3 linked regions of the Drosophila melanogaster genome follow. The protein of the gene in region 1 purifies or fractionates together with the protein of each later gene. This does not show direct contact. Each region holds a gene or a part of one and is shown in the gene's direction. Other genes may lie near its edges. The genes, in order: Sec22, CG42383 and Syx5.

Region 1 (6,680 bases):
TTCCTCGCAGAATTTGCCTTGTCAATAATCAATTTCCTTCGCTCCGCCTCCTCCGTCTGCAAAGTCTTGTGGTGCACCTCAACGCGATCCACAAGATTCTTGGCCGCCTTCTGATCAGCTAAATTCATCTCTGCACGCACCTTGCGGAGAGCAAGGCAGTCAATGATGCTATGACTCTGCCAAGTGACCTCCAGGTCGGCGGGGATTGGTGTTCCCTCTGACGCCAAGCAGCCCTGACTCGTCATTACTTGTTTCTGGCAAATGTCCATGAACTTGTCTCGCCGGCTAAGCAACGCGTGAGGCGCCAGGTCCACATCCCCCAGTTTCCGGTGATTAAAGTGGGTGATTAGTTTTCCGGTATGCGAATTTACCCCCACGACGGTTGCGACATCGAAGTGCTCTGGACAGCGTATGCGCATCTCGCTGAGCGAGCAGGCCAAATCCAGATTTGACCGGCACCACACTACCATATCCTCCTCGTCGTCCTGTTGCGGCTCGACATAGGGAATTAACCGCTGCAAGTTCGGACGCGGCGTTCCCACGTCGCAGAGGGCATTAAAAGATGCAGAGCATTTCATTTCTAAATATAAAATTTATATTTTTTTGTACAAAAACTTCAGGCCAACTTATAAAACTGTGTGAGGGGAAACTGCATACATATTCGATTGAACTGAATATTCCAATCTTAGGATTCGAAAAATACTATAAATTGTTATGGCTAAATACTCGGGCTGATCGCTATCTTTATATGTACTCTTCAGACTGCTCTTTGTTTTAAAAGCTGAGCGATTTCAGAGGACATACAAATAGATGTACATATATGGCTTCACATGGCCATTGGAGCAGAAAAAGTGCCTACTTCAATTCGAAAGCAGTTAGTATGTCGCTAATCTATGACTGATTGCATATTCTATTTGGACACAAAAAAAAAAAAAAAAATTATTATTCAATAAAAAATAAAATACATAAGCAACAGTGGAAACAGCCTAGCAAGACAGCCTCCTTCAAAAGCTCGATCCTGGTTGGTTCGCCGGAAGGTACTCCGTTTTGGTCAGTCAAGTGATGCACAGGCTCACACCCGCCAGTCGCCGATGATTTGGGAAGAGGGCACCAGCTCGAATCGAGCGTTGGCCAGACTCGGTGGCACACCAAATCTAGAGCAAAAATGGAGGGAAATGAGCCGGCTGCCCAGATGACCACCTCTAGCGCTTTCGTTTCTGCTTACCTGGGACGGAAGAAGGGAGTTGGGTGGCCAGGGAACTTGGGAATGGAAGGCGGAGCAGTCGCCTTGGGCTGGACTTCCGGTTTAATCTGCTGCCTGACAGGGGCAGTGCCCGCATCCACGCTGTCCAGGGTGTTCCTCACCACAAATTGCTGCCTGGGCTGTGAATTGGATTGCGGTCTCGTTCGAGCTCCTGGCATGGGCAAAAAGCGAAAGAGCCGGGTAGAGACGCCGTCATCATCTGTCACGTCATCGGTGGACAAATCATCTCCTCCAGCCCCTCCGACTCCGTTGGCAGACGGAACAGCACTATCAGCTTGTCCACCGGCAAGCGGAGTAAACACGGCAGCCAGACGCACAGGCACAAAGGCTGGGAGCCGCACTGTAATGGGAGTGCCGGAGGGCGGAACAGCCGGTGACGGGATTGCAACGGAGACTGGTATGGGTGTGGGTCGTGGCGGAGGAGGTGGTGGTGGTGGCAGTGGAGGCGGAGGAGGTCTACGTGTGCTGGCATCCGCTGGCGACGCAGTCGTTGTTGTGGCCGATTCCTCCTCGACCTCCTTCCAGGCCTCCAGCAGGGTCAGCAGCTCATCCTTGCTCATGTGGCCGAGACCAACGGGGCTGTAGGGCCACTCGCCCACTCCGAGTCCACTACCAACACTATTCCAGCCTAAAGAGGGCACTTGTTCCACTTGCTCTACGTGACCCAGCGGAGTCTCGAACAGGCTCCTTTGGGGACGTGTGAGGAGCAGCTGCTGACCAGCCAGCCCATTGCACAGGATCTGCATGAGGAGACCCAGGAGCGTCGCACGAACTGACCCGGCCATGACTGACTTTGTATTGTGGAGCCTCTAGGTGGAGCAGTGGCTTATATATACATACCTGCTTTCAACGGAACGAGGAAGGAGGCCAAGCCGAGCAAAACGGAAGCGCACGCATTCCGCTGCGGGTGATCCGATCACACGATGAGAAAATAGGTTGACCGCAGTCCTCGATGGGCTCAGAGTTAATTGAAATGCATTCGATTTAAGATCACAGTACAAGCATTTTAAATAATGTCATAAGCTTTCCCGCTTTGATCACAAACTTGTGTATATCTTAGCATTCTTCGGTATGAGCAGAAATGGGAATGGTTATTCGCATTCGCTTGCAGGGCTTCAATTCATAATATACATAGATGAATAAGTCGCATTCGATATGAATTATTTTCCCAGTGCAAAGATTTTTCCGGTGGTCGCTTGAAACGCACATTCGCACGCAGCTCCATCGCCAAGTACCACAGGTAGTCCATATAGTTGGGTCCCTGCCTCAAGTCCAAGTCCGGTTTCGCGGGCGAACCACTTTTCCTTCTGGGGATGGATGTGGATGTCCATGCAGAGGATGGTCTTCGCGGGCGAACCGGTTGGGCTTGGTCATCGACTTTTGGGGGGTCCAACCCACTTCCGGCATCTGCGCCAGCGGATTTGAGTCTGCGAAAGCGGCGCGACGTGCCAGGGATTTCGATTTATGTTGGTTAATAATTTAAATAAATATTTATTTATATTTAAATATTTGAAATAATATATTCGCAACTCGATTGCCAATATAAAAAATAAAAATACCAAAGACCAATTGGTCGGATTGGGACTCAAAACAGCTATAGAACAATGCATCTGGGCGCCAGGTTCATGGGTGAATCGAAGTATTGTACTTCTATTGAACTTCTGGGGATCCTTAATCCGCATCCTGTGTACAACACACGCATACAAAAAGCAAACTCCACATTACAGCAGAGCGCAAGCTGTCAAAGCTGTAGACCTGGGAAAATAGCTTTGCGGGAAAGCCCGGAAACTCGAAAGCGCCATTTTCAGGGGCATGCTGGCTTGAAAACGAGTTGAAAGCGTATTTCCATATCGTGCATTTAAAGAAACGAAGAAACGAATGGTATAATGGACTTCCGTTAATGTGACCGTTGGCGGTCGGTACTCTGAGATACTCTGCGGTATTCGGTATGCCTCGCACCATTCGGTATATTTACACGGACATACCGGTGACGTGGTTACATTGCAACAAACATCCACAGAAACCTCCAATCCACTCCAATCCCAGACACCCGCCCGCCGCGACGTTGCAACACAGTTTTCATGGTAGCAGCGAACGTTCCCGATTCGAGGCAGAGTCCATTTGGAAGTCCCGGGCATCGCAGGAGCACTGCGGCAAGCACCGACCGATCGGCTGAGTTGTGAAATCCAAGAAGTGGAAGAGGACGACCGGACACAAACTTCACACACTGGTGACTGGACTGCAGCGGATCCACATCGGAATAAGTAGCAGCCAGTGGAAGGAGGCGACGGCAGAGTGCAGCCGTGGCCAAGAAGACTTGAGACGCAGCCCCGTAGTTCCGCGAGCAATCGTAACCAGGAACAGCAGAAGCCATGGCGCTGCTGACCATGATAGCCAGGGTCATCGATGGCCTTCCTCTGGTGGGGACCATGCAGGATGACGAGCAGGTACCCGTGTGCATCACTTTCTAATACGTTGCATTCCGTTCCGCTCCCGCAACTAAGTCGCTTTCACTTTCAGAGCGGACGCAGCATACTGGACTACCAAAACCAGGCTAAGATGCTCTTCCGCAAGCTGGGTACCCACTCCCCGGCTCGATGCAGTATCGAGACCGGACCCTACCTATTCCAGTGAGTAGCCCCAATTCGTGGCACCTTTGCCAGGGCATAGACCATTAAAATCACACCATGTACAAAGGTTTCTCGGCTCCGCGGGTAGTCAGTGACAGTTGATTTAGTTTCGGAACAAAGAGTATAGATGTAATTTGATACGAAGTTAAATTAAACGCTCACTGCTTGCGAAAGCCAGAAGATGCAATGGGCGCCCCAATTAAAATATTCCACATTTTCCCTGCAGCTACCTAATCGAGAACGACGTCTGCTACCTGGTGATGGTGGACAAGATGTACTCAAAGCGACTGGCCTTCAATTACCTGGAGGACCTGGCCCAGGAGTTCCATGCTAACTACGGCCGGCGAGTAAACTCAGTGACTCGCCCATACGCATTCATCGAGTTTGACGTGTACATACAGAAGGCGAAAAAACAGTTGACGGACCGCAGACGCAACATCAGCAACATCAACACACAGCTGCAGGATGTGCAGCGCATCATGGTGCAAAACATTGACGACGTGCTCCAACGTGGCACAGTGCTGGCGGGTAACTACTACTACTACTATCTACGCGACTATCTACGCGTGATTGTGGGATTCAACTGACGTTCACCCCGTTTTTCCTTCCAGAACTCGACACCAAGACCCAGAACCTATCGATGATGTCACAGAAGTACAAGAAGGACGCCAAGCTGCTCAACCGAAAGTCCATGTACGTGAAGGCGATGGCCTTGGGCATGATACTTCTAGTGTTCATCATGTATTTCTGGGTTCTGTAATATCAAGCAGTTCCATGGCCACTCGGAGCGGCGCGTTCTTTGTTGGAGTCAAGCGTCAAGGACGCAAGACCAAAAGACATTTAGATTACGCGTGCACCTGTACTCCACGCCACCAACCACACCATATTCATTCATATCTATGAATCATAGGCAAGCGAAAAGTGAATAGCGAAACCCCCTACCAGCATACGCATCGCTCCCGAGGATTGTTTTACTTCTAATATTAACTTACCTTTGCGTTATTTACGGTCTGGGATTCCATTAATTATTAACTCCCATTTCATTTCGCCTCGCGCTTCCGTTGCGCAGGTTTTCTAAATATTTGATTACGAATCGGGTTTAGTTTAGACGACCTTTGAGCCAAGTCGGTTGACTACGACCCAAATCTGTAAATTATGAGCGTCGATCCGTGTGTGTGTGTATAAATGTCTAGATTGTAGATGGATCGCTGCATAGCGAATCCGAATCCGGCGGAGTGCTTGATACAAGCTGCAAAAACACCGCAAAAAACAAAAGAAAAAGAAAAGATAACAAGCGAACCGAAAGAAAAGAAAAGAAGAGAAAGGGAAATAAACAATAACAGTTTTAGGCAATTTATATGTGTAAAATTAAGGCAAATAAATAAATTTATATTGTTTAATAAAGAGAAGGCAAAACTGTGTTCGATGCACTACCCAAGCCCGAAAGATAGAAACTGCATCTGATTTTTGGTTTAGTTTTAATCGATAATTTCCCTTTATATATTTTTCGATTCACTGAGTGTGATGTGATACATTCGCCTTTATAGTTTATATCCACTTGCAAGCCTTCGAATTACGATTCTTCTCAATGAATTTCTCGATCTGATCCGATCCCGATCCCATTCGGTCTCATATCGTCCCGCTAAATGTCCGTTTTCGTTGCGTCTCAGCGCATATAAATTTGTAATATCAAATCTTTACAATTAGGAAAAAAATGCGCTGTTGCCATATACACTGCTATATCGTAATTTGGTGTGTATAGTTTTGTGAAATATCGAATCCGAATACATATATACGCTCTCTACATAACTACATATGAATGCATATGCTTTGTGGGGGGGGATGTGTGAAATGGTCTGCAATAATTAATTAACTGGGGAGAAGAGCAATCATCTACCGAATTTTGCAACCTCCTCTGGCTTCCGTGTACTAGGCTGTGGTTCTGCTGAAGCTCTGGTGGTGAGTGGGATCGAAAATAAATTACGCGGTCTATAAAATCGAAGTTTTAGTTTATGCGAAAACCATACGAGTCGGGCGTGGCGGGGCGGGTCGGGGCGTAACTGGAACTATTTAGATATACAATAGATGGGTATGCTTGGTTGATAGCCCGCACTAGGCTCAAAATTCTTTAAAAAATATTTGCTTTTCTCAATTGGATTCTGCTAATGCTACTATAGTTCGCTTGTTTTGTTTTTTTTGGCTTCGTTTTGTATAACTATATTTTTCTCGTTCTTGGCTCCGACATCTATACAAATTCAGAAGGCAGTTTTGCGCGTGGAGGGACAATTACAAATTGAGATTCATTAAAAAGCATCGAAGAGCAATAACACTCAAACATATCATTTTTATAGGTGTGTTTTGCATTGCCTTTACTTGTATGTTGGTTTGAACTATGAAAAATCAAAAATAAATAAATAAGTCAGGAACAATCTGAACTTTGAGATTCTTGTTCTGTTTTCGTTTCTACGCATACCCTCATGCACTTTCGGGTACGCTGGGCTTATGACTATCAAAAAAAAATAATATATAGTATATATTTATATATATATGCCTGCTGCTGCGGTTTACAAAGTAGGTTTAGAGTACGGGTACCGTCGTTAGCTTAGAAAATAACTTTAGTGAGTGGTGCGCAAGGAGAAGAAGGTCCATCCCAGGCCTATTAGGCTAAGTCGTATTTTTACCGCTATCGCTATCCATCCGTCTATCTTTATATCTTTCTATCATTCTATCTTTAGTTTCATATTTGTAGCCACTAGGCCGGTGCATATGTATCTGTTAGTTGTATA
Region 2 (5,664 bases), on another chromosome or scaffold:
GAATCAACATATCAAACTAATTGCAATCGAATTTAAATAACGTTCAATTAAAAGCATGGTTCGCAAAGTCAAACCCATAATCACGCCATATTTGCCTGTGTTAAGTGTGTGAAAGTGTTTAGCGAGGAGGGAAAGAGAGAAAGGGCTCCGATTCAACATCAATCAATTAATTGGGATCCCGAACGAGGTGCGTAAGTTCGTTTGCCGTGCAATTCGTTAATTAATCGAATGCGGTGCATTAGCACAAACTGGGGCGTTAAGTCTGACTCATTATGTTTAATCCGAACTAACTGCTGACTTTGTTGATGTGGGTCTTAAATGTTGGCAATGTTATACACGAGGTAACACACAAAACTCCATTCTGGTAGGTATTTTGGTATTTCAACAATAATTTGGGCGCCAGTAAGTATGCAACACTCAATTGCTTACTGCATCTTTGAAAGTTGCGCCTAAAAGAATGCACTCAACTTTGGAATTCGATGAAATTTGCTTTGTACTAGCTAAGTACCACTTCACCCATGAGCTGCCGCACAACCATTATCGAACTTCTTTTATTATCCACCGTACCGTTAGTAACGTGAATAACTCCACTCTAAGCCGTTCTGAAAGCCTTTTACTCGGCGTGACCCAATGCATTGAACTCTGCCACCTCGATCCATAATACTCCTCCTGTTATCATTGAACGGCTTTCACTAATATCTTTCTAACAAGGAGAGAAATGGCTACAATAATAGGGAGATAATAGCCGACAACAAGTCCGCACATTGCGTATCGAGTTGCCTTCGAAGAGCTTGGCCAGCCCATTCGAGCGCCTTGACTCGTGTCCACTTGGCTAACATAATCGCACATGCGGTCACATACAGAGCATACAGATGGAGATGGCACATACATACGAACATACGCACATACACACACACGTATGCGAACGGGGTGGGGACGCAATGCATCGGCGTATCGAGTTTTAATGACCCACTTTCTAGCTCAAGACTGTTTAGGTTCGGCCAGCCATCTGTATTGGTTTGGTCTAATTCGGAAAGTCCCCTGGCAGAGCAATTAGTATGGCCATTGGCCAGCATGAATGGGCGATAAAGGCGGCAAACGGCGAACGTGGTATTGTCAAGGAAAACAAATGAGTTGGGCTTGCAACGGCCACTTGAGGGGCTTCTGCCGGGGTGTCCGTACTTGTCCAGGCCCGAAAGAGATGTCTGCTCCCAGAACCGAAAAATAGAAAAGAGAAAACAGTGAAAGAGTGATTTTACAGTCTCTGAAAGTCATTACCCATTGATGTGTGCACTGCAGGAGGTGAAAGAGAGACCCTTTGGCTAGCTAGTTTGCTCGATTTTTAGCTCGATTGTGTGTTGACAGCATTGGAAAGGGCAAAGACAGCACAAGATTGCAACAAAGCGAGAACTGAAATGAAAATTAATAGAATTAAGAGGTGAAGAATTCAATTCACGGCGACATTCAGGGACGCCACTTAAATGGAACAGAACCTTGGCGGGAATTCAGTTCCCGCCCACGCTGCGTATGCTTAATAAAGCAAACCAAGCTGCTTTGTAAAGTAATCAATATCAATATTTAAATGATATTTTATTGTACTTTTGTTTATTAGTATGTGACATATATCTTATCCTGATAGTGAAACATTGCAGAATGTGTAACATACGCGGCGTATACGTAATTTGATGAAGATTACATACAGACCGCTCCTAGTGGGGTTAGGTCACTTCGTATTTAATAAACAAAATTTAGGTACCACAGAAACAATTTGTGTGGGAAATATGTGAGAATTCCCCACGAAGCTGCAATATTCATTAATTTGGCGAATGTCACATAATCTTCGTGAGTTACTAGGGGCCCAGCTAGTTACTTGGGTGTTTTTGGAACCCGAAGCGTAGGAACATACATATGAATGCATAATTGGAACATAAAATTCCGGGAATATTTTACAGCATTCTCCGGGGCACCATGTGAGTGTTTGGTTTTTGTTTGGCCCGATACGGCTCAGCTCCATTCTGCCCCTCCGCCTCTCCGCGCTCCCGCGCTCTACCCGACTATTCATGGCCATGCCTGTTCCGCATTAATTCATTCGCAGGGCGGAGAACCAAGCCATCCGGCCGAAGATGGACCAGCGCAATCTAACACTGCCAACGCCAGCCGCAACAACAATTATGTCCTCGTCATCAGCAGCGATGTCGGCGGGCTTCGCATCCCTTGGAGGACCCACCACGTCCGCCCTGACCGGATCCACAATAGCATTAGCCACAACAACAACAACGGCGCCGCCAACAACGACGCCAGCCACATTTTTTACCTACAGCATACCAGGCATGGACATTGCGCCAGGACCATTTATATTCACCTACGTTAGTGAATTTTTATCGCTTATCACGCCCGAGGAATTGCCGCTGGGTAAGTCCCTCCATGTCCGCCCCTCGCAGAGGGCGTGGTCCTGCATCCTTGTGCCCGTGTAGGATCGAATGATATCGGGGAAAGGGTTTCCAGGTGTGTGGGCTGGTATTCAGAACGTCTGCTTGCCAACAATGAAGGCATTAGAGATGTAAATTCAGGAGAGCCTTTGATAGGTGGGCAAGTTATTCAACCCAGATGGAAGACCTCATATAAATTGTGCACAGGGAAAAACTTGTGTCCGCATAAATTATGTCGATTCGTATTCGGATTTTCTTTAAATGTTTTATTAGTGGTGTCCTTATGATAGCTATTACATTCGCCCAAAACTACTTTAATATTTTATTTTAGCAAAGGACCTTTAATAAAATTCTTTCTGATAGTTTTCTATACAAAATATTTTTTCGAAGTGCTACAGGGCTTGGTATTACGTTTAAAACAAGCTTGAATTAAATAGTTTCAATGGCACTAATCCCTTAGTAGTCTTAGCCTCGTCCCTGACCCTTTAGGCATTAAAAATGCATGTTGGGCGAGAGTCTGTGGCTGCCACAAGGACTTTCGGAACGAGCCAAAGCCCCAGTCGGCCTAGCTACAGTGATCCCCCTTCGGACGATATGTGTTTCTAAATTCAATCCGACGAAACAGCCCCAGGGTTGTTCGTCCCTGCCCAGATGACCGATGAGCAGAAGCTGAGCACCTTCATGAAACGGCATGGGGTGCGTGAGGAGGTGGCCCGTCAGTATCTGAGCTCCAACAACTGGTCCCTGGAGGTAGCCAGCAGCACCTACGAATCGGAGGCGGTTTCCAAAAAGCAAGAGCCCGAGAAGTCCTCCGAGCACTCGCAAGCGAATGAGAGCAATCGGGATCTCCATTCCCTGCTGAGTGAGATATCCCGGCGGAAGGAGGGCGACCACGATGGCTACCAGGCATGTGCATCGGACAGCTCCACCGATCATGACACTCCGGCGGGCAAGCGGGTGAACATCAACAGCTCCACGCCGGCTATAACCAACAACGACAGCGACCGCAGTCTGCGGGTCTGGGGTCATGGCAATCGGTTGGGAAGCGCCCATCCCATCAATCCGCCTCCTCGATCCGCGACCGAGGATTCGGATACGGAGCCGGCCGACGACGAGCACACCATAGTCGTCCTTCACCTCTGGTCTGAGGGATTCTCCCTGGACGACGGCTCGTTGAGATTATATGCACTGCCCGAAAACGAGCGATTTCTCCGCGCTATTTTGAGGGGGGATTTCCCCGAGGAAATGCTCCGGGTGCCCAGAGTCCAGCTGAGCGTGCAGGATCACACTAACGAATCCTATCGTCACTTGTCCCGGAAACAGTTCATGGGACCAGGTCGACCGCTGAACAGCCCCTCGCCCCAGATACTCGTCGTAGGCCCAATGCCCGTTGAAGCCCAAGGCCTTCAGCTCAACGAACGGGCCGACACGACCACCGTGCAGTTGAGGATGGCGGATGGGAGTCGTGTGGCAGGACGCTTCAATCTCACCCACAATGTCGGGGATCTCTATCAGTATGCACGCCTTGCCAGACCCGAGTTCTCTGACCGGAGCTTTGTCCTGATGACCGCCTTTCCGCGACAGGAACTCGTCGAATCGGACACCCGTACTTTGGTGCAGGCGAATCTCTGCAACGTGGTGGTCATCCAACATTTGAACGAGGAGCAGGTGGAGCCGTTGTCCAGCGATGCTTCAGAACCCATCGTGCAATAAAAGGCAGTTGTATACATGTTTAAATATCTATTTTTACGACGTTTTATATGGGACAATGGGCTAAGTTGTGCTAGTTCTATGGATGATACTCATATACTAATAGTTAATCCTCAGGCAGATAATGATATTAGGGTATTACTATGAATAATGTTTATGACATTACAGATTCCATACGCGATGTTCTACACAAAAATACCAGTCTGCTGGACTTTGCCTCCAATGTGAGTGGTTGTACAGCGGAGTCTTGGTCATATCGTAAGAGTTCTGTTTCCCATTTTAGGCCATTAAAATCGAGTCAGGCTTCATTGCTCTGATGAGCGTGTTCGCCATCCTGGCCCTGGTTCCCCTGATTGCCACGTGTGCCTGGTGCTGCGGTCGTCGCTCCACCCAGGAGGAGGTCGACCACATACGGAATGCACCCTGTCACATCCGGGACGAGTCGCTGGAGGAGAGCTTACGATGTCGCAAGAGCGCCGGACTGGTCACCCTGTGGGTCGTCTTCATCCTGCTGACGTGCGTTCAAACTTAGAGCTTAACTTTTGAGGGCAATGGAGAGTAAATGCCGGGGAAACCCATTTTGCAGGCTGAGCGACTTCAGCATTTTTTACGCCAACAGTCGCTTGTCCGCCGGAATCGAGATGACGCCCGAGATGGTCAAGTCAGCCGTGCACGACGTGGAGGTCTTCCTGAAGGACACGCATCTACAAATCAAGCAAAAACTGGATAATGGCTTCCACGTTTCCGTGGAGCGGGTCGTCAAAGACCTGGAAGGTCAGTAGTCATTCCAGACAGTCGGTCGGCAAAGTTGGCCAACTTTGTGTCGCCGACCACTTGAGTTCGAACTCCCGCCCATTTTATAGCCTTCGATCCATGCATTATGCTGCAACTTTTCCCGCAGTGCGATGTAGATGTAGATGTCTGAATTTATTGTGTGCATCTCTCTCCCGCAGACGTGGATGTTCTCCTTGGCGAGCCGATTCAAGCGGAAATATCCGCACACACTGGCCTTGAGCTGGCGTATGATTCACTGACGACACTTAGCCTGGGTGAGTACGGATGGTTAAGTGCTCCCATGCGATGCCCTGCAAAGCGATGGCCATGCGATTGTCTGCTCACGGACTTGACCCAAATTCCGCCGTTGGTCATGCACCATCAGTAGGCCTACGCACCACCAACCACCCCCATATTGGCCAAACATGACAATAAAGCAGCCACAATAAATTACGGCCCCATAAGGGTGCGACCTTTGAGTGGGGCTCAAATAATCCACTATTCCCCTCTGAATTTATTGTGGTTTCTATATTTAAAGTGCATTCTAAGTTAAGTTAATGCTAATATGCGGACAACTTCGGATTTCACTTAATCACAAGGACTTGATCGCCATTATAAGCTAAAAGTACTATAAAATTAAAGAAATCATACATCAATTTAAAATACACTTAAAAATATTGCTCTAAATATCACATTTCCCAACATGGCGGTTGCAGTAGCCTCCACTCAAGAACAAACAATCTGAAAAATC
Region 3 (6,469 bases), on another chromosome or scaffold:
AGGGCGCGGACTTAACCATTTTTCAAGAGCTTTACCCCAAAGATGGCACACGGAACTCACGTAAGAATTCTCAATTCAATTGAAAATGTAATAAACTATTTTTTTGTATTATAGTAAAGCGACACTCAATAGCTCAGGATCCAACTGACATCTTACCGGATAAAATGCCCAGATTGGATGATTGCGATGTTTTCCAAGCTGACAATGCTATCATGACCCAAATCTTTCCGCATAACATTGAACCAGCTGAAGTAACTCAGATAGTTTGTGAACCGTCGTTGCCATCCGTTTTAAATTCTTTTGGAGAAATAACATTTAGCCACCCGAAAAATCGGAAAAGAAAGCTAATAGTAGACAAACGAATTGAATACACCCGGGAGCAGCTGGTGAAGCATAGACAGAAATATATGGAAGAATACCTTTCAAGGAATGTGATAGTGCCAAAATCCTCGGATTTACGGAAACCCCCTAAGGAACTTCTCTGTAAACTGTATAATAAGTAGGAGCCTTATACATTTTGCTATTTAAAACTTTTTAATTTTTTGATGTAGTGTAAGTTTTTTAGCTCTTCATAACCACTCCGGACCTAAGCTCAGTAATGAAGAAAAGGAATTCGAGGCAGAAAACACATTGAGAACCATATTTGGCTGCGAGTTTACCGAGAATCTTTCTAAAGAGATATTTGTGCGACCATCGCAGGCTACAAAATGTAGGGATAAAGCGGCACATATCTATCAGCCCGAACCGCTTGAAGTGGAAGACTGTGTGCAACCTCAACTTCAGCCACGTGATGATGTAAATCAGAATTATCATAATGAAATGAATGAGCACGGCATATACCGTGAGGATAATCATGATGGTGAGTTCAGCCAATGTTTACAACATGCTATCGTAAATAAAATATAATCTCATTGCAGATACCTACAGCGTAATGATGAGTCTCTTAAGCATTTGGCGTAATAATCCGAAAATCACGGGAATCGATGCCATTGATTTTATAAAAACGTTTGATAGTCGCATCAAGGCTTCGTTAGCCTTTCTCCATTTGTTGTGTGAGTTCGAAAAAGAACAAAATGTGTGTTGGAAATAACGTATAGCTTAAATTTCAGATCTTGTTCGAGACCATTTTATAGAGATATCAAAGCGAGCTAATTCGCTGGAAATGTACCAAATTACTCTTGGCAAAGAGTCCGCTAAGCTAATAGACAATCTTATGCTGAGTGAGACTCTGTGAATATTTTTAGATAATTTTTTTCAAGATTACCAAACAACTTTGTAGTTGACAATCTTCCACATTTTTGTTGTTGTTTTGTTTTCTGTTATTGCTATTGTGTTATAACATATAAGTTGAGCCAATCTCTAACCTAGATGGCTTTAATCTACTCTTTTTCCATACAATCTTATGGTACAATTGAGCAACGATGTCCTGGATAATTCGTTTCATTTCAAGAATTGAAAAATTCTATAGATGTTACTTGTTGCTGTCTATAAAAATAGTTTTTTTTTCATTATCATATTAGTTTCGTGTACCCATTAAAAGTTGTTTGTTATCTTTGTTACTATTACGTTATCGTAGCTATAATTCATTAACATTTGGAGTAATTCTCTAAACCGTAATTGTTGTCTTTGTTACAAAATCTCAATTTCTCTGACAACACCAAAAAATAAACAAGTTACAAAAACAAAGGAATACAGAGTGTTTGGCACAATTGCTTAAATTCCGATCTGCTGGGCCAGACCCGAATAGATGTGCAGCGTGCAGAATCCAATGACGGCCGCCACCAGCGCTTTAACAGCCACCGTTAGCCAAGGTCCAATGGTCAGAATGTGGAGCATGCCCTCCAGCCAGACGCCTTTGAAGACAGTCACCGCCAGAAGTAGACTAACCAGCGGCTTTAATGCCTTGTTCAAATCGTGACGGGTGAAGAGCCAGATCAGGGTGGCCGTAGTGATGTGCTGCACCAGAAGCACGTTCGATTCCAGACACTTGAGGATGTAGATCCAACTGAACTCGGTGCCTCGGGCACCCACCCACAGCATGATACCTCGGGAAAGAATCACTTCGGCGGTGGCCCCTGCGGAAGTATACGAAAATATTTAGTTTTTACTAAATTTTTGGAAGTTGTCATACATATATGGGTTGGGGTATTAAAGGTTGAGTAGGCATTGGCTCTTGTAACATTAATATATCTGAACAGAGTACTTTTCAATCTTTAAAAGCCACCCTCATCATTAATTAAGTTTAAATAAGTTGGTTCGTTCAACCTACATCCAAGTCCAGCCGTTATGAGCTTTGAGTGGCCCTTGCCGGGTATGCGACTCAAGATTAGGGCGAATCCAAGCAGATCGGCGATGTCCATGCTGCAGCGAAGAATCTCCTGCAGACCAAAGAAACCACAACATGACCTCAATAATTGGGTGAAGGTAAACAAAGATAAGCACACGTACCGCAAAGAAGTTGAACTCGCCGCTGGAGGATGGAGCGTCCGAGTAGAAGAATGTGGCCAGCACCAGCATCTTGACGAGCTGTGTGAATATATAAATGCCTCCCGCCTGCACGCACTTCCAGAAGGCTCCATATTCTGATCTGTGATTAAATAATAAGCCGGGAAAGTTCACAAATAGTTTTTTATTGACCTGGTAGAGCTGCGGACTTGGCAGTCGGCAAATCACCAGTAACCAGAAGTAAACTCACAGGCCGGAGTATTTATAGGTGAAGTAGTACGGCGTCAGCAGGGCCACACAATTTCCAAAGTGATACAGTGTCATTTTCTTTGATAAATTATGGCTATTTTATTTTGGCTTAATTAAGAGAAGAATTAAAAGTTGAAAAGAAAAAAACTAGCGTTGCTTGCCGTGGGTTATCGATATGTGCTTAACAGGGCTGACGGCATGTCAGGCAGACTATAAAAAACAAGCTAGTTTTGCAGACAATATTTTACAATAAATATTTTAATAATAACTATTATAAATAAATATTTTGAAATATTGGAAAACGTGTGTCTTTCCGAACGAAAAGAAGTAGCAACTGTTTTAATCTGTTTCGTGCCTATCGATAGTTGCTTAAATATCAACACGTCATCGTAATCTATCATCTGGAGGTGTGTTCGTGTGTGTGAGAAGAGTGTGTGTGTGTGCGTTTGAGTGAGTTTTCTGCAACCTTTAGCAATTATTATGAATTTTTTGACAAAACCATTGGGAAATACTTGAACGGAGACCAAATTTTACTTTGTTTAGGACACACAAACCTGCCAGCTAAGTGACGAGCCAAACATCAAACGGTAAACCAGTGCATTAAAGGAGAAAAACAAAGGGGAAATTTTCGCAAAGAAAAGTCCAACAGATCATTTCGTTCGTGTGCATATGAAAAACAGCAACGTCAACTCCCTGGTAAAAGCTGCAATCTGAAATGAGATGCAAACCCGAAGACGCCTTCATCAAACAGACCAGCAGGATTACAGCAGTAGCAGTACCTATACCATTCAAGAGGATCAACAGGGAGGAGCAGGCGCAGGATCTGTGGGCACGGGAACAGCTGGCGGATCGGTAGGACTATTAGCACAGTCCCTGGTTCCACCACCAACTGGTCACGAGGCGGCCATCCACATTGGAGACAACTACCAGTCGGGCGATTCCATTTCCACTCCCGATTACTCCGACGACAAGTACGGCAAGGCGGCCCGCCAGTGGAACCTACGCGCCTTCTCGGGCCACGCACTGCGCACTTTAAGTGCCGCTGCCGCCGTGGTCACCGGCAATCAACCGGGCATCAATAACGATAGCCAAAGCAACTATAGCTACCCCGCTTCCATTCCGACTAGTTCACAGTTTTACCAATCGAAGGAGGAGCCGCAGGAAACGGAACCCGAACCAGAAATATTCGTCATGGCCGCACGCGATCGAACGGGCGAGTTCGCCAATGCGATTCGTTCCCTGCAGGCTCGAAATATCACCCGGGCAGTGAATATACGCGATCCCCGCAAAGCTAAGCAGGTTCAGAGCTACTCGGAGTTCATGATGGTCGCCAGGTTTATTGGCAAGAACATAGCCAGCACCTACGCAAAACTGGAGAAGCTCACAATGTGTAAGTACATGTTTTAGTAACCCCTTAAAGTCATATTCAAAACTTTAAAATTCCCATCTTCGTTTTAGTGGCCAAAAAGAAGAGCTTATTTGATGACAGACCGCAGGAGATTCAGGAGCTGACCTATATCATCAAAGGCGACCTAAATGCCTTAAATCAACAAATTGCCCGACTGCAGGACATCTCCAAGGATCAGCGGCGTCACACAAACGGCAAGCATTTGGTGTCACATTCCTCTAACATGGTACTGGCCCTGCAATCGAAACTGGCCAGCATGAGCACGGACTTCAAGCAAATCCTGGAGGTGCGCACGGAGAACCTCAAGCAGCAGAAGACGCGACGTGATCAGTTTAGCCAGGGACCAGGTCCGTTGGCCGCGCACACCGTCTCCCCCTCGACAGCCAAGCAGGGATCTTTGCTTCTCAGCGAGGAAAACCAAGCGGTCAGCATAGATATGGGGAGCAGCGATACCACACCACTCCTATCAACCCAGACACAGATGGCCATCTACGATGATTCCGATAATTACGTCCAGCAGCGGGCGGAGACCATGCAAAATATAGAATCTACCATCGTTGAGCTCGGCGGAATATTCCAGCAGCTGGCACATATGGTTAAGGAGCAGGAAGAGATCGTGGAGCGTATTGACACGAATGTGGCGGATGCGGAATTGAATATTGAGGCTGCCCATGGGGAGATCTTGAAATACTTTCAATCCGTCTCCAAAAATCGCTGGCTGATGATCAAAATCTTCGGCGTTCTCATATTCTTCTTCTTGTTCTTCGTTGTTTTTATGTCGTAATCAAACGCCAGTTGCCCATTAAAAGCCCCATGTACCTATCCATGTATACAGCTTTTTATTTTAATCAAGATTCAATCACAATATTGTTTATTCCAAGCTGTGGCCTCCCGAAACGATTGTAAAATAAAGTTATAAATACGTTCTAAAGCAAAATACATTTATTTTAGCATGTGGTTCTTTGGTGAATTTTTCCATTCTAATGGAAGCTCTAAAATTAAATATAATTTCCAAAATATAAAGCCGAATGATAAATATGTTTGCTGATGTAAGAAACTTGTATATTACCTTAGAAAACGTGTAATGCAAGTATCAAATTGGAGAGAGACTATATCTATGTTTGCCCTGCTGATAAGGTTTAAGTGCCCTTTCATAATCTTTATTATCTTAAGTGCTCGTTGCTCCATGTTCGTCGTGTTTAGCCAAAAATTCCGCTGTCCCTCATGCTAAACAGAAAAATGAAAATTGGTTACATTGATTTGACTTTTATTTAATGCTTAAAATCCAACTACACCAAAGATGCGATATGCAAAAAATAATCAAAATAAAAACATGTTACAATCTCTTACTGCAGAAAAGTATTACAAATTGTATGAAAAAAACAAAGCTTCAAGATGTCTTTATGGATTTACACTAGAATTTACAAGTGAAGTATTGTTCGCGGTTGATGGGGACTCTTCCCCAAAAAAGGAAGTCCTCTACCCGAGTTTAGACAACTAATACACGACGCTGATGCGTTGGCGCCAACACTGAGATCCCCAGGCAAGAGCTTGCCTATGTCGAGATGAGCGAATAAACCATGCTAAAATTAGCAATTAGAAACGTTAGACAAATGAGGACCCTGGCCACAATGAATCTCAATTAGACTTACCCGTATATGTAGTAGAAGAAGCTAATCAGATAGACGGCCAGTTTAATCCAACCCTCACGCATGTTCCGGTACAAAGTATCGGTTTTCAGGACCGTGGTGGGATCATAAAGTCCGGGTCCCGACATCACAGGGCGGTTTTTGTAACTGAAAGCGATAGGGGTATTACAAAGCATGAGTGCTTAAGGGTGCTTATGTTGGGCTTGGGTGAATCTTGATCTCCTCGGATCTCAAATCACATTATATCACACGGTCAAATGAGTCACTTACCGCCAAATATGATAGGCTATGAGGGGTATGTTGATGCATAGCGAAAACCATTCGCCGCAGAACAAGAAGAGCAAGTTCAGAAAGATGTGCAGAAGGTATTCGGGCAAAACCAGCTGAAATGCAAACACATACATTACAGGGCGCACTGCGGGTGTAAGCAGTAAGTTTACTGACCGGATTGAGGCTATTGCACTGATCAATTGGGTTCTTATAATCCGTTTTAAGTTCGTCGAATGCAATGACATGAAATATGGCGAAAAATATCAAGAATGCATCCCCGATCAGGGCCACTATGTACGTGAAGGCGGTGAAGTTGAAGGCCATCTTGTAAAATCGCTGGAGCACGTCTTCCAGGTGCTAATCAAAGTGACTTGCTAATTATTATCGTAAAATTCGGCTTTGCAATTGTAGCGCTGGGACTCACTTGTTTTTTTTTTACAAGGGCGGC

What was found.
Region 2: the proteins of Sec22 (region 1) and CG42383 purify together in Drosophila melanogaster (affinity purification with western blotting; one study listed by BioGRID). This does not show direct contact.
Region 3: the proteins of Sec22 (region 1) and Syx5 purify together in Drosophila melanogaster (affinity purification with western blotting; 2 studies listed by BioGRID, with this or other methods). This does not show direct contact.

What each region holds. Positions count from the first base shown.
Region 1 is NC_004354.4:802,849-809,528, forward strand, and holds Sec22 (secretory 22), read left to right. Parts: upstream 1-3,227; 5' UTR 3,228-3,636; coding exon 3,637-3,717; intron 3,718-3,784; coding exon 3,785-3,894; intron 3,895-4,120; coding exon 4,121-4,422; intron 4,423-4,505; coding exon 4,506-4,654; 3' UTR 4,655-5,352; downstream 5,353-6,680. Other genes in the region: CG13359 (uncharacterized protein), read right to left, coding at 1-578; CG13358 (uncharacterized protein), read right to left, coding at 1,073-1,154, 1,226-2,049.
Region 2 is NT_033778.4:24,422,433-24,428,096, reverse strand, and holds CG42383 (uncharacterized protein), read left to right. Parts: upstream 1-2,994; 5' UTR 2,995-3,080; coding exon 3,081-4,142; 3' UTR 4,143-4,171; downstream 4,172-5,664. Other genes in the region: prom (prominin), read left to right, coding at 2,124-2,412, 4,308-4,363, 4,423-4,655, 4,726-4,913, 5,093-5,188.
Region 3 is NT_033779.5:16,304,246-16,310,714, forward strand, and holds Syx5 (syntaxin 5), read left to right. Parts: upstream 1-3,100; 5' UTR 3,101-3,414; coding exon 3,415-4,084; intron 4,085-4,152; coding exon 4,153-4,886; 3' UTR 4,887-5,029; downstream 5,030-6,469. Other genes in the region: c(2)M (crossover suppressor on 2 of manheim), read left to right, coding at 1-60, 115-499, 552-859, 918-1,052, 1,110-1,234; CG5861 (uncharacterized protein), read right to left, coding at 1,714-2,075, 2,270-2,378, 2,449-2,587, 2,696-2,769; cni (cornichon), read right to left, coding at 5,658-5,685, 5,755-5,898, 6,022-6,134, 6,196-6,345. UniProt on the Drosophila melanogaster protein: Mediates endoplasmic reticulum to Golgi transport.